2 linked regions of the Drosophila melanogaster genome follow. The protein of the gene in region 2 purifies or fractionates together with the protein of the main gene of each other region. This does not show direct contact. Each region holds a gene or a part of one and is shown on either strand. Other genes may lie near its edges.

Region 1 (6,171 bases), on a different chromosome or scaffold from region 2:
ATACTCATTCGCGGCACTATCCGTCTGTCCTATCAAGGCCTCCGCCTCTTCTATCTTTTTGGCATCAAGAGTGCTCATAGTGCTAAGTTACAACCTTTGCGTGTTGAAAAAATCAATTCAAGTGACTTATATTCAAATAAGTGTGCCCAAGTGCGCAAGTGCCGAGAAAAACACAAAAGGCCGCTCCTTTTCTATGCGGGTATGACACTGGTATTATGGTAATATTAAGTGCTTTACTAAAGTTGCATAAAATATATATTTGTATTTAATTAAATAAATGCATACCATATAATATGCGAGCTTGGGGGGTGAAAAGTAAGCTATATTTACATTTCATGTAAGCTGGATTTTGAATATATTTAAAAAATTGTATCGATTTGGTTTCAAATCGAACTTTTATCGCATCCATAGAACTCCTAGTTCGATTAAGTTTGTAGCCCTGTCTGGATAAAAAAAAAACATCGATAAAAAGACACGTGCTTTGCCTTAAAAGATCTTAAAGTGAGGAGGTAGCAAGGCGCTTTGATTTAACTTACTTTGATATTGTAACTTAATGCAATTAAATATTAACATAGGCTTTACCAATCGTGTGCGAAATCTTGAAAAGAAACCCGTCGCTCGGTTTTATATCGAATTCTTAACGGAAGAAGGTAAGATCCTTTATATGCAGATAGCTTTTTTTGACTTATTATCCTAACATCTTTATAGTTAATCCCATATTACTGCAAGATGAAAGCCTGGAGAGATCTGGGTATTACCTATATCCAGTATTCCAACATCGCAGCCCGTGTGGTGCGAGAGGCCCTGCGCATTGAGCTCCGTGCAGACGCCGCCAAGCGAAACATCAGCCATGTGAAGTTCACTCCGTGGGTGAACGGAAAGCCTGTGCCGCGCAAGAAGGTAGAACGTGAATCCGAATCTTAGGCGCCCATTTCGGTGATTTGTACACCATGTTTCATCCAGAATAACAGCTGCCATGATTCTACAATAACATTTCAAATAAATCTAATTCACTGAAAAAATGATGTATATTAGATTTTTTGTTGGGTCAAAACTTCATAGCTCATTCTTCTAAAGTACAACACAGTTCTGTATTTAAATATCATATAAATAATAATATACACAACATTTAGCATACATTCTACACACGCGTATCAAATACATAGATTGTGACTGCTTAATTTAGACTAAGACACTAAATAGGAGAATCTAAGAATGAGAAAACAGTCAGTTCTGGAGCACGAGCCACGGTAGCAGGATGATGCACAAGGACCAGGATAAGCCCATCGATCCACTCTTCAAGTTGGTATAACTGTCCACGATGTGAATCTTCCAGCCCATATTGCCATGGGTAAAGGAGTTGTAGTACACAGTATCCGGCCATGTGATATTCGGTGTAATTTCCAATAGAGCCGGTTCCCCTTCTACACACTCGGTGATGAGGGATCGATTGAACTTCTTGAAAGTGGGGAAGTTATCATCCAGTCGACGATCACTATTTTGAGGATATCTGGACAGGCACAGGGGACCAGCAGCCGTGGGCTTGGGCCTGCCTCTCCGGGTGAATTCAACACCGGCTAATACACGAATCTCACTCTGCTTTGCATCAGACAGTCGGTCATACCCACCCTGGGGATCATCGGTGATAACCAACGGATGATAGTGCTCCGGCGAGTGAGGATTATTGCCACCCCTAACCTTAAAGGTGTAGGTCAGACCACGCTTTAGGTAAAGCTCTGGAATCATGTAGCCGTTGATGTACCAGGCCAAGCCACTGGACACATGATTCGTCAATCCCTGATAGCCACGAAGTCCTCCAGAGGGTCCCAAGTAGGCGTTGAATGTGCGTACCGTTCTGCAAAACAAGGAACTATATTAAATTTTCATTGCAGGAAGATTGGAGTCTTACGCATCTGTTATCCTGGTTCGCTCCCACACTGGAGGATTAGTCGTCTCCGCTCGTTTTGTAAATGCAAAGCAATCATTAACCGGTTCTGTGGTGTTAAAATCTATCACTATATCGCTCTTGGGATAGTAAGTGTGAAAGGCGGGCTCGTTGTTGGAGTCCAATGGGCCAAATGCCCAGATCACGTAGTTGCTGCGGTCTAGGAAGATCTCCTTATCGCCATCATCGGCTAAAATGTGAAAGAGCTGCATCAGTAAGCAAAAGGCATACCACTTATGATAACCAACTCACATGACTTGAGCGTCCGCCTAAAACTGATCGTATTAATGCCATCCTTGCGACTATACGTATTCAACTGGAAGCTGTCCAATCCACCAACCACATCGTCACGGCAAACTCCTTTGTTTTGACCCAAAACCTGAACGCACGGCGCTAACGAAGTGATATTGTAGTCCACGGTGTAGCCTCTGATGTCGTCTATATAGGCCACCACGACATCGGAGCCAATCATCTGGCTGGATACATCAGATCCGGATATGCCGAAAGACATATAATCGTTGCCGCCCACCTGACCGGATAGTTGAAACGTGATCTGCGGCCCGAAAACCTCCCAGGACACCTGCATATCCTTGTGTAGTTGCCGGCAATTGGGCAGCGAGAATTCGAATGGTGTAACTTTCACTAGGGAAGGTGGAACATTAAGTTTATCGTTGAACAGAACATGACCATAGTTCTCGTTGTCAGCCACATCGTATACACTGATCCAATCGATGTCAAAGATAGTCTTATCTCCTGGCAGTTCCAGTTCTATGGTCTCCTTGTTGTACTGTCTTATAGGATCAAGGCTAAATGATTTATGATGAATTGTTTAAATGGGTTTGTGATTAAATTTTTTTTAAATCCCTAGAGAAACTTACTATCCTCGCTCATCTGGCAGCTTGCTTCCTCGACTCGATGGCTGTGGCCCGACTCCTGTCCAGAAAAATGTCCTCTTGCCACGCCCATCGTAGGTAAAGTCCTTGATGCGAATGGTCTTTGAGTCCAAGATCTCAACACTGCTGCTGCTCACATTGTGACTGCGCTTGGAGAAGGTTCCGCCCAATTGGCTCATCGGTGGATCGAACTCCTCGGGTATATAAACGTCGCCAAAGTTGTTTTGACTGCTCAGATCGTAAACCGCCAGCCATTTAATCTCAGTTATCTTCTTTCGATCCGGCAGCGTCAGCGTGAAATCCTTGTTGTGATAGCGATCCAGAATGTTGGTTCTACGGTTGGCATTTCCATCATATATTCATTTCAATTTATTCTCCATAGGAATAATATATATTTTGACACTTACTTGCCATACTCATCGGGCACAATGAATCCCTGCGGTCCCGGCCGATTACTAGCGCCCGACCAGAAAAACGTATCCGCCCCGTTGCCATCGTAGTTAAAGCCCACAATCAGAAAGGTGTACTCATTCACAGCGTACACATCGCCGGACACTTGATGATGGTAGGAGTTCAGTTTCCCCAGATATTTTCCCCGGTACGGACCATCTTCTTCTTCGTTCTGGGCCGCTATTTAGATAAGTTAAAGTTAAGCTAAGAAAATTTGAAGCCGGCAAAAAAAAAAACATTGAAAACAAATCGCAAACGAAAGACTATGACAACAAACTTGTTTTTTTTTTTTTGGATTTTCGCTCTGACTAATAAGCCAACAATTTGGCTTCTGATTTACTGCCACTGGGCCAGGTGGCGCCCCCTGGCGGGAGCTCTGAGCGACCAATCCAAGACTAGACCAGTTTCTCTAGTTTTACACGAAAGTGAATTTGTTTTTTGCCCCGTCTGGAGCGTAACGCCAGTAAAAATTTCTCTTTCCTTTGCAGTTTGCCTCGGTTTTCTTTGTTATTGTTAAGTGTGCAATGTAGTCTAGTTAACTCACAGGCGGCGGGGCAAAGCAGGAAAATCGTTAAAATAACCAGTAATAAATGGTGCTGCAATCGCAGACAAAGAACTCTGCTGCTCAATGCCATCTTAATTCCCTCCTTTGTTATCCCGGTCTGGTTTATTTCACTCCCACTTCCTAAGCCACGTTTTAATTTTTTTTTTTAATTTTTGAATCGATTTTATGCTTATGAATTCTTATTCACGCTGCAGCATTTTGCATTTTGGGTTTTTTCGCGGGTTCGCTTCGTCACTGAAGATGGTCAGATTTCCAAACAATACATAGATACGTCTGTTTAATATTAATTGAGAGCCAAGTAAATTATTTATAATTTTTCTTGCTTTTGCTTAAGGTCGTTTCGTCACTTGCATGCGTTTTCGCTGCTATTGTTGTTGTTTTGTTCACTTGGCCAAAACAGGTTTAGGCAGCAGTTCCGGCGTTTTTATATATATATTTTTACTTTTTCCAAAGCTCGCGCTTAAGGCCGAAATCAAAAACGAACCGCACTGTCCAAGCGATCTGAGTGAACTGAGACTTTAAGCCGCCGTTATTTCGTTTTGGGTTTCTTTCGGAGTTCCGACGTCTTGGTCTTGGCAATGTTAAGTGAGCACTGCTCTCCGAATCTTTCTCTCTTGAGCTGTGTGCATGCGTGATTGGCATTGAAATGGCCAAGAGTGGCCGTAACGGTAACTTGCTGCACACGGAATACGCGAGGTGTGCTTGAGAGATTCCAAAATAATACCACAAATACATTATACTACCTACGTGTGCACTGTAAATGATTTTTAAAGAATTCTTCGGAAAAGATCTATGATTATCTATTCATTGTGGCGCTATCAAGTAGAACAAATTAAGCCGCATATAATATATATTGCGATATTAATGTTGCTGACCCCATGAATAGTATTATATTTTTATATAACTTTTCTTGATCCGAGTTCTTATCAGGGTAAATGTAGCCATCTGAAACTGCCTGGGGCGAAATAAAACACACTTTCATTATTTTTCACAATTTTCTTGCTTGCAAAACTAAACTTTATCCTTAAGTTTGCCTTTATTAGATCTTTATTTTGAATAGCAATTCAATGTTTTTAAAACTAATCAATTGCAATTTGTCGTCTGTTTGCGTTTCTATTCAAACAGCAATTGCAACAGTTTCTCTACTCGACTGCTTTGGATTTTATTTCATTTAATGAATAATGTTTTCGTTTTAAGTTTTCTCTTTTTTGTGTTTGCGATTTTATTTACAAAAAGGCATGTCAAAGATATATGAATAAGGATGTGCGTTGCAAATAAAATTGAATAAGTGGGTCGTCGATCTAAAACATGAAATTTGCAACCAAAATATTTGTATCGAAGTTGTGGACAATTTGTATACGATTCACTGAGGATCTAGACCAATTTTCACGGATTTTCTTATTTTCTAAACAATTTAGGCTCTGCTATCTTCTATCCCGCTGCACTCTTCGTACTCGTATTACTATTTTATTGAAAATACAATATTAATAATATATCATTATTCTCATAAGAAGCACAATTTATGTTGTTTTAGTTTTTATTTCATCATTTTATGCGTTTACATTTCAGTGTTTTGAACATTTTTTGCCGTACATTTTTCAGAATTTTGTTGTTTAACATTTTCAGCGCATGGTTTATAATTTACTCTCATTTATCATTTATGGTTTGCGTTTTTATAATTTGTTTGTTTTGTTTTTTATTTGTTAACACTAGACACTAGATAACCTATAAAAATGGTTGTTTTGTTTATAGTTCTTTATGGAAAACATGACAATGAATACAAGAAACTTTACAAAACAGTAAACACGCTGGAAAAGTTGTTGACCGATGAAAAAGGGGGCGGGGCCAAGGGGCAAATAGACTATATGTGAGAATTGGTCTTGGACGCACGCACGCATAGTTGAACTAAAAGTAGCAATACTTAGCTTAAATGTAGCGTATAAAAATAGTATTTTCTTATTATTGTTTTTTTTTCTTGTTTCTCTCATTTCAGATAGACTTTCAATAAAACGAATTGAGAACACTAATTTGTATTTTAAACTTAGGCTGCGTTTTTTTTATATGTATATGTAGGTATCAATTAACTGCGATGCATACGTTATTAATGCATCTATTTTATACTTCTTCCGCGTTTGCCTCATCTCTTTGACTTCTGCTTTCTGGTCTAGCTAGCATTGGGTTCTTAGTGAATTTATTAAGTGTTTAAATGAGCATTTTAAATTGGTTTGACTGAGACAACTTCCGGCTGTTCGATTGCTGACGTTGCTGATGAGATTAAAAATGAGACACATAGTCGATCGACAAGCTCCGCGGCCTAT
Region 2 (6,740 bases):
AATCGCTCCGATGATCCCCCATGCTGCAGTAAAAACCTTGAATTGCCAAATCTTCGACTGCTCAACTTTTTGCTCCAGGCCGACAAATCTTGCACATGGGCGGGAGTTGGCAAACCGATGAGCGGATACTTAATATCTTCGCTTTTTCCCCGCGCTAATTGCCAGGCCAAACCTGTCGCACCGAAGTCGAGATGCCAGCGCGATTAGTTTACAAATTAATTTGCCAATTGAATTTCAGATTTAGACGTCTGGCCGGGCTTCCAAGAACCACCTCCACCTGGTTTCCACATGGGATCGGGCGAGAGTAAAAGTGTATTGTTAATTAGCCACTACACGCCGCCAACCTAAACTAGTTTCCCAGCCCGTCTGGTTTGGCCGCATCTCCGATCTCCGATAGCTGATTATATTTTCATTATTTTTTATTTCTTTCCTACTCCGATCGGAGCGGATCGATCGCATCTCCCAAGGACAGCGGCTTTTGGGTCATTGCGTGGCCGCTTAGCATATTTATGCATATATTATGTACATATATTACCGGCATGCTCCGCCGCTTGGCCGCTGGAAGCATCGGGATGACACAGTTTTCCATCCCATGGGCGTAGCTCCTCGGAAATGGCTACACCAAACCAACCCCCCCCCCTCCCCTCCCCCACCAATCACCTGTAGACCAGTTCCCAAGCAGGCAAAACTAGAAATTCTATATTGTATCAGGCATTTCATTGGATTCCTATGGATCACCATGTTTCTAATAGATATACAACATTCAATTTGTAAGATACATTTATTACATTAGTACTTGCTCTTGTTAATTTCATCATATTTTAATATTTCTAAATGATAGTTTATAAAAATGTGCTCTTATTTCAATTATACATATATAATGTATATTATCTTACCTTATTTTACCAAAAGTAATAATGCTAAATTTTTGATTTGCGGGAGTGGCGTTTAAGACATTACCTTCCAACTAATTGGGTGTGTTACTCATTACCAAGTCTTTCATCCGTCCGTCTGCATATATGCAATGTATATATAGTATAATTTAAAGATACAGATCCAGACCGAAACTACGCCCATGGCGTGTCCTCTTCAGCCTTGAAGTCTCAATTTTTGGCTGGCACTTTGGACGAAAGGACGGTCTTCCAACTCCAACTCGTCGCCAAATGGATGGTACCTGTTTGGCTGGCCTTTTGGTCGATCGATGTAAGCCATTTGCATGCGGACCATCAACCCGGCCAACTCAATTCGAGCCAACTGAATTCGGGGATCGTTGACGCATATGAATTTATTTACGTTCATTTTCGTGTGTGTGTGTGTGTTGCTTTTTTGGTCACATCGACACACTGATCGCAGGGAACGCATACCCTACTCGAACCGCATCCATCGGTCGCTCGATCGCATTTGGTTATTTGACGGTCAATACCCGGAAATGTGCAGCTGACCAGATGGCTTACAAGCTGGAATTTTGTATTTTTGCACAGGGTCAACTATTTATTACTCTATATGCCTAAGAACCACCCATTTTTAGCATATAATTTTATTTTTAAGCGAAACAATTGAATTGAAACGCTAATGGAAATCAATTTAACATCTTCTCTACCTGCATAAATGACCGCTAGATGGCTCTGCAGATCAAGATCACTAAAGAATTTGCGGCATTAAAACTGTAATTATACGATAAATAACATTGTTTTTCTTTTTTTTTAATAGCCTTTGAGTATTCTTAAGAGTTCGCTTACAAATACATAGAAGCATTTCCTAATTCTTCCAAGATTTCGATGTAATCTCCAAGTCATCTGATACAGGTGACGCCTTCAACACAGTTGATCAATGCGCGGCCTGAAGAATTCGCGTGGTGCACATTAAGCTAGGGCATCTGGCCAGCGGTTTTCCGGTCCTCGCCCCTGGACTTTCTTGTTTTTGTGCCATTACATCTCTGGCTCGCCTTTCTTCGTCGCCTTTGGAGCCCCGGCTCCATTCCATTCCCATATCCAGTCCAGCTCCAGCCGCAGCTCGTTTGGCCTGGCTCGGTTTCGTGTGGTAGTAGTAGTAGTAGTGGTGGTGGTGGTGGTGGTGATGGTAGTGGCAGTGGCAGTGGCGGGGGCGGTAGTGGCCCCGCCCATTGGCATCACTCTGCCGCAGCCGACGGCGTCGTCGCGTCGTCGGCGACGTCGAGCAGAGCCGGTAAAAAGTCTTGAAAAGTGCGCCTCTTTGGCGTTCCGTTGTTAGTTTAGTTTAACCATCGCAGCGCTTGAGTCGCGATTAGTTGCTCAAGTATCCAGTTGCCAGGATCGTTGCTCTGCTTTTTTTTTCTCAGACCCCGAGTCCAAAATGAAGTTATTTTTATGTGCCATTGCTGTGACCCTGTGTGTGGCGACAAGTGAGTGTGAATCAATGGATCCGTGGGAATGGATCAATGGATCGTTCAATGGATCAGTGGTGCCCAGTTCAAGTGACTGACGACTGACTGGCCAGTGCCAGCCCATCCGCCAAGTCAGAGTCGCAAATTGTTGCTAATTACTTTGACACTGACACCGAAATCAAGACTCGATCTCGATCTGCTGCCGCTGTGTGTTTTGGCCAGCTAAGTAGCTAAGTAGCTAAGAGCTAAGAGCCATAAGTAGCTAATCATATTTAGCCGTCTCGCAAGACTGGGCCTCAGACGCAAATGTTGAATCTGGTCGCGATTGCGGATCTACAGGCCACATGCAGATCGAGATGGAGGGCCGTTTTCCGTCTGGAAAAACTGGAATGCTGGCCAAGCCCAAGATGCTGTCTGGCTGTCTGGGCCGCTGGGGTTATGCAACTCATGCAGTTTGTTGGCCAAGTGGAAAACGGCTCTTCTGGGCCGCAAGAGAAGTGCATTGAACCCGGACCGAACGTCGTAATCTTGGCATTATGCTGAGTATGAAGCCTTCTCTGACATTTAAATTTCGACATTTCGAATCACTTACCGGTGTGTTACGGAAATCCAAAGAATTCGCGTAGTTTGAATTCCCAATTTCGGTTGTAGAAGATATTGTCAGCATAGCGAATGCAAAGGTGTATAGAAGTATGCAGTGATTTTCGCATTGTATACATTTTTTATAGCTATCCTTTAGGCGCCCAAGTAAGAGATTTCACATTGGTTGAGTAAATAGTACTAACCTATATCTAGCTTACCGAAGTCAGTGGGATTCTGGTCAAATGTATCAAGCGATAGCAACCTGTTCCAATGGAAAACCACTGATCATTTCTTGGGCCACCGGGAGTGGTGGCAACCAGGAAACCGCAAATGCGGAATTGCCATCGGTAATCGAACGTCGTTCGATCTGTTACACTTTCGAGTGCGACTGGGGGTCGCCAGGAAAGTGAAAGTGGGAAAACCAGTTGACTGAAGTGCTTGTTTCTTTCCTTTGTTTTACCCCAACACCAGCCGTGTCCGCCGCCAACTTCGAGTGCCCGAAGCCCAATGGCCAGTTCGCCGATGAGGTGCAGTGCGACAAGTTCTACGTCTGCGACGACGGAGTGGCCAAGGCGAAGCTCTGTCCCGATGGCCTGGTCTTCGATCCACTCAACCGCAAGTTCAACAAGTGCGACCAGCCCTTCAATGTGGACTGCGAGGACCGCACTGAGCTCCGTAAGTAGCCCATCCCATCACCATTTCTATTTCTAGGCTATTGTTACCGACCCCTTGGGAATGGTCACGAAAACTATGTCAAGGCAGAGCGCTAAACAGGTTATTCCAATTACATCATTACATCACCATTAACTATGTAGGGAGTTAAATTTAAATTCGCCTCTTAAGTTCAAATTTAGCTTACTAATGAAAGCATCAGTTGAAAGGATGAATTTGTAGCATACTTTTGGACATCTCTATATTTAAAGCAAATACACCACTACAATGAGCTATCCAAAAGTTATGTAGTTGTGTAGCTCCTTTGGTAGACGGAGGAACTAACCCTGTTCGGTTTCCCCTTCACAGAGGAGCCGAAGTCCAGCAAGTACTGCCCGCGCAAGAACGGCTTCTTCGCGCATCCCGATCCCGCCGTGTGCAACATCTTCTACAACTGCATCGAAGGCGACGCCCTGGAGACCAAGTGCACCGTCGGCCTCCACTTCGACGAGTACTCGGGCACCTGCGTGTGGCCGGATACCGCTAAGCGCGAGGGCTGCAATCCGGAGCAGAGTAAGTGGACCGATTGAGTCGCCGTGCGGCGGAGTGGGCTAATGGTCTGGCATGTGGTGTGTACTTTCAGGAACCTCCGAGACCGGCTTCGTGTGCCCCAAGGATCAGCCAAAGACCGACGATCGCGGCCAGGTGGTGACCCACCCCAAGTATCCGCATCCCACCGACTGCCAGAAGTTCTACGTGTGCCTGAACGGCGAGGATCCCAGGGATCTGGGCTGCCAGCTGGGCGAGGTCTACAACGATGCCACCGAGATGTGCGATGCTCCCGAGAATGTGCCCGGCTGCGAGGACTGGTACAAGGATGTGGACGACAAGAAGGACTAAGCCACTTCCGGTCGCTTCTACTTCTCCTCATCACATCCACACTCACAACTCATGCACATGCACACGCACACACAAGCACACTGAAAGAAATTATCAATCAAATCAAATCGAAACAATTCGAAACAAATCAACACACAGATTCGCGTCTTAGTCACTTAAATTTAGTAGTTCTAGCCCATTTCCTATAGAGCGTATGTGTAGCAGTTAAACTTCAATACTCTGACCTATCTATTTCTTAACTATCTTTCTCTATATCTGACTACTTCTAACTACTTTTCTAACTACCCAAATCTCCATTTCTGTGCCCAACCAAACGCTGCCAAATTGTTGTGTATATATTTCCCGCTTTCAGACTTTCGCCTTATTATTATACAAAAAGAATAAACTGAATTTTTTATAAACTATCTATATCTATCTATCTACTATAAACTATCTTCCCAATCCCAAGACTACTACTATTCCATATACTGTTTCAGCTATCCTATGTGATCTTCGCCTAAAATTTCAATTTCCCTCATCTCTACGTTACTCTACTTAACTTCTTATCATATTCCAAAACCAATTTTCTGTCTATAAGGAAACCCACTCTTTACAAACTTTTGTCCTCCTAAAATTTTCAAACTTGAATCTTTTCCGTTCTCTTTTCTTGATTTCTTTCTTTCTATCTTTAAAATTTCAATTTAGTTCGTGTTTTATTGTTTTGCGAACTGTTACGCTACAGTTTATTATTCCTAAAATGCTCCTTTTTTAAGCATTTCAATCCTGTAATCTTGTATTTCACTTCTACCTCAAGTTTCAAATCTAAATCTTTTCTATACATTCTATCTTCCTCATAAATATTTCCTTGTATTTCGATTATACCTACTGTATAAATACTCTTTTAGACTATGCTATATGTTATTTATTAATAAACATCTTGACTTGCCTGCAAAATCCAAACGATAAGAAATTTTCACGTACCTTATTTAAGTAATCATTCAACCGACTGTAAACCCATGACACCCAAACTCACTTCCCATTCTCCGATCTTTCTCGAATTAAAAAAAACTATGTATTTCGAATCTATACAAAACTAGTGTGCATCTCGTGGGGAAATAGCAAAAAAAGGGAGGGGGGGGGGGGGGGGTTGAGTGGTCGATTGACCAATCAATCAAACCTTTCACTCCACACGCAATATCGGATAATCGCCGTGGACGGGCGGGATCGGTGCATCCATTATCCATCATAGCCCTTTGTCCCTCCATCGGTTGCAAAGAGTCTTTAATTGGCCGAGTGGCCAAGCGGACCGCACATTTACACATGTAAATGAACACAAAAAGCAGGCAAGAGTGCTTATGCAATCGCCGCAGCACGAGCAAAGCAAAGCAAAAGCAAAAGTTTTGCAATAGTTAACAATGTAACGGCAATCGGCAAACGGGGCCCAATCATGAATGAAGCTTATGGTCTGCGCGAGCTTTGCCTTTTACTTTCAATCACACATGTTGCCAGAGAAGCTCGATTTCCGCCTTGGCGTGTTTTTCTTTTTCAAGCCAGGAAATGGACCCGAACTAGCTAGGAAACTAGCTAAATCATTGGCAGTGTGGAGCGAAAGCGACCTTGTGCACAGCGTGGATGCTGGATGCATCCTTTTAGATAGCGTTCTAAGTTTTATCTGATTTTATGCAGTGTTTCCACTGTTTGTGGATAACCTAAATTTCAGCTGAATTCGCCATAGCTCGACAATCTTGCAACTGGGAATCAGTAGAAGCTAAAGTACATTTCGCTGTACTATAGAAGTTTATTCTTCATTTCGCTGTACTATAGAAGTTTATTCTTCATTGCATACAACATTATAAGAGATGTAGAAGCACTAGAGATTTCTGCAATGGGATGCGATTGATATGAAACTTTGTATTCCGAATACCACCGAACTGTAAGTCCTCAGATCGAAAATAAATCCCATAAATTCCGTCTGTTATAGGCTCTCAAGTTGGGAAGATGTGGCGAGAAAATGGATTCGAGCGATATAACATTTGGTATATGGTTTGGTATCAAACATATATTCCCAAATTGCGGCTGTTATGTGCAATTAAGAGCGTAAGATGTGGCTGGAATCTGGATGGATTGGCAGCACTGGCAATCCCAAATCCCGTTTTGCATTAAACACCAGCCAGCAACAATGCAACAATGCAACAATGCAACAACAATGCCAGCTGTGACAACACACAGCACCACCCACCGCCCACCTTTGCCGCCCCCAAAAAAA

What was found.
Region 1: the proteins of obst-A (region 2) and knk purify together in Drosophila melanogaster (affinity purification with western blotting, with the first as the bait; one study listed by BioGRID). This does not show direct contact.

What each region holds. Positions count from the first base shown.
Region 1 is NT_033777.3:10,121,297-10,127,467, forward strand, and holds knk (knickkopf), read right to left. Parts: upstream 4,369-6,171; 5' UTR 3,924-4,368; coding exon 3,833-3,923; intron 3,469-3,832; coding exon 3,246-3,468; intron 3,172-3,245; coding exon 2,824-3,171; intron 2,783-2,823; exon of another isoform or gene 2,752-2,782; coding exon 2,198-2,751; exon of another isoform or gene 2,136-2,197; coding exon 1,910-2,135; exon of another isoform or gene 1,893-1,909; intron 1,856-1,892; coding exon 1,228-1,855; 3' UTR 1,069-1,227; downstream 1-1,068. Other genes in the region: gammaSnap2 (gamma soluble NSF attachment protein 2), read right to left, coding at 1-78; ATPsynepsilonL (ATP synthase, epsilon subunit-like), read left to right, coding at 730-924.
Region 2 is NC_004354.4:20,237,647-20,244,386, forward strand, and holds obst-A (obstructor-A), read left to right. Parts: upstream 1-2,208; 5' UTR 2,209-2,331; coding exon 2,332-2,380; intron 2,381-3,415; coding exon 3,416-3,619; intron 3,620-3,964; coding exon 3,965-4,168; intron 4,169-4,238; coding exon 4,239-4,495; 3' UTR 4,496-5,563; downstream 5,564-6,740.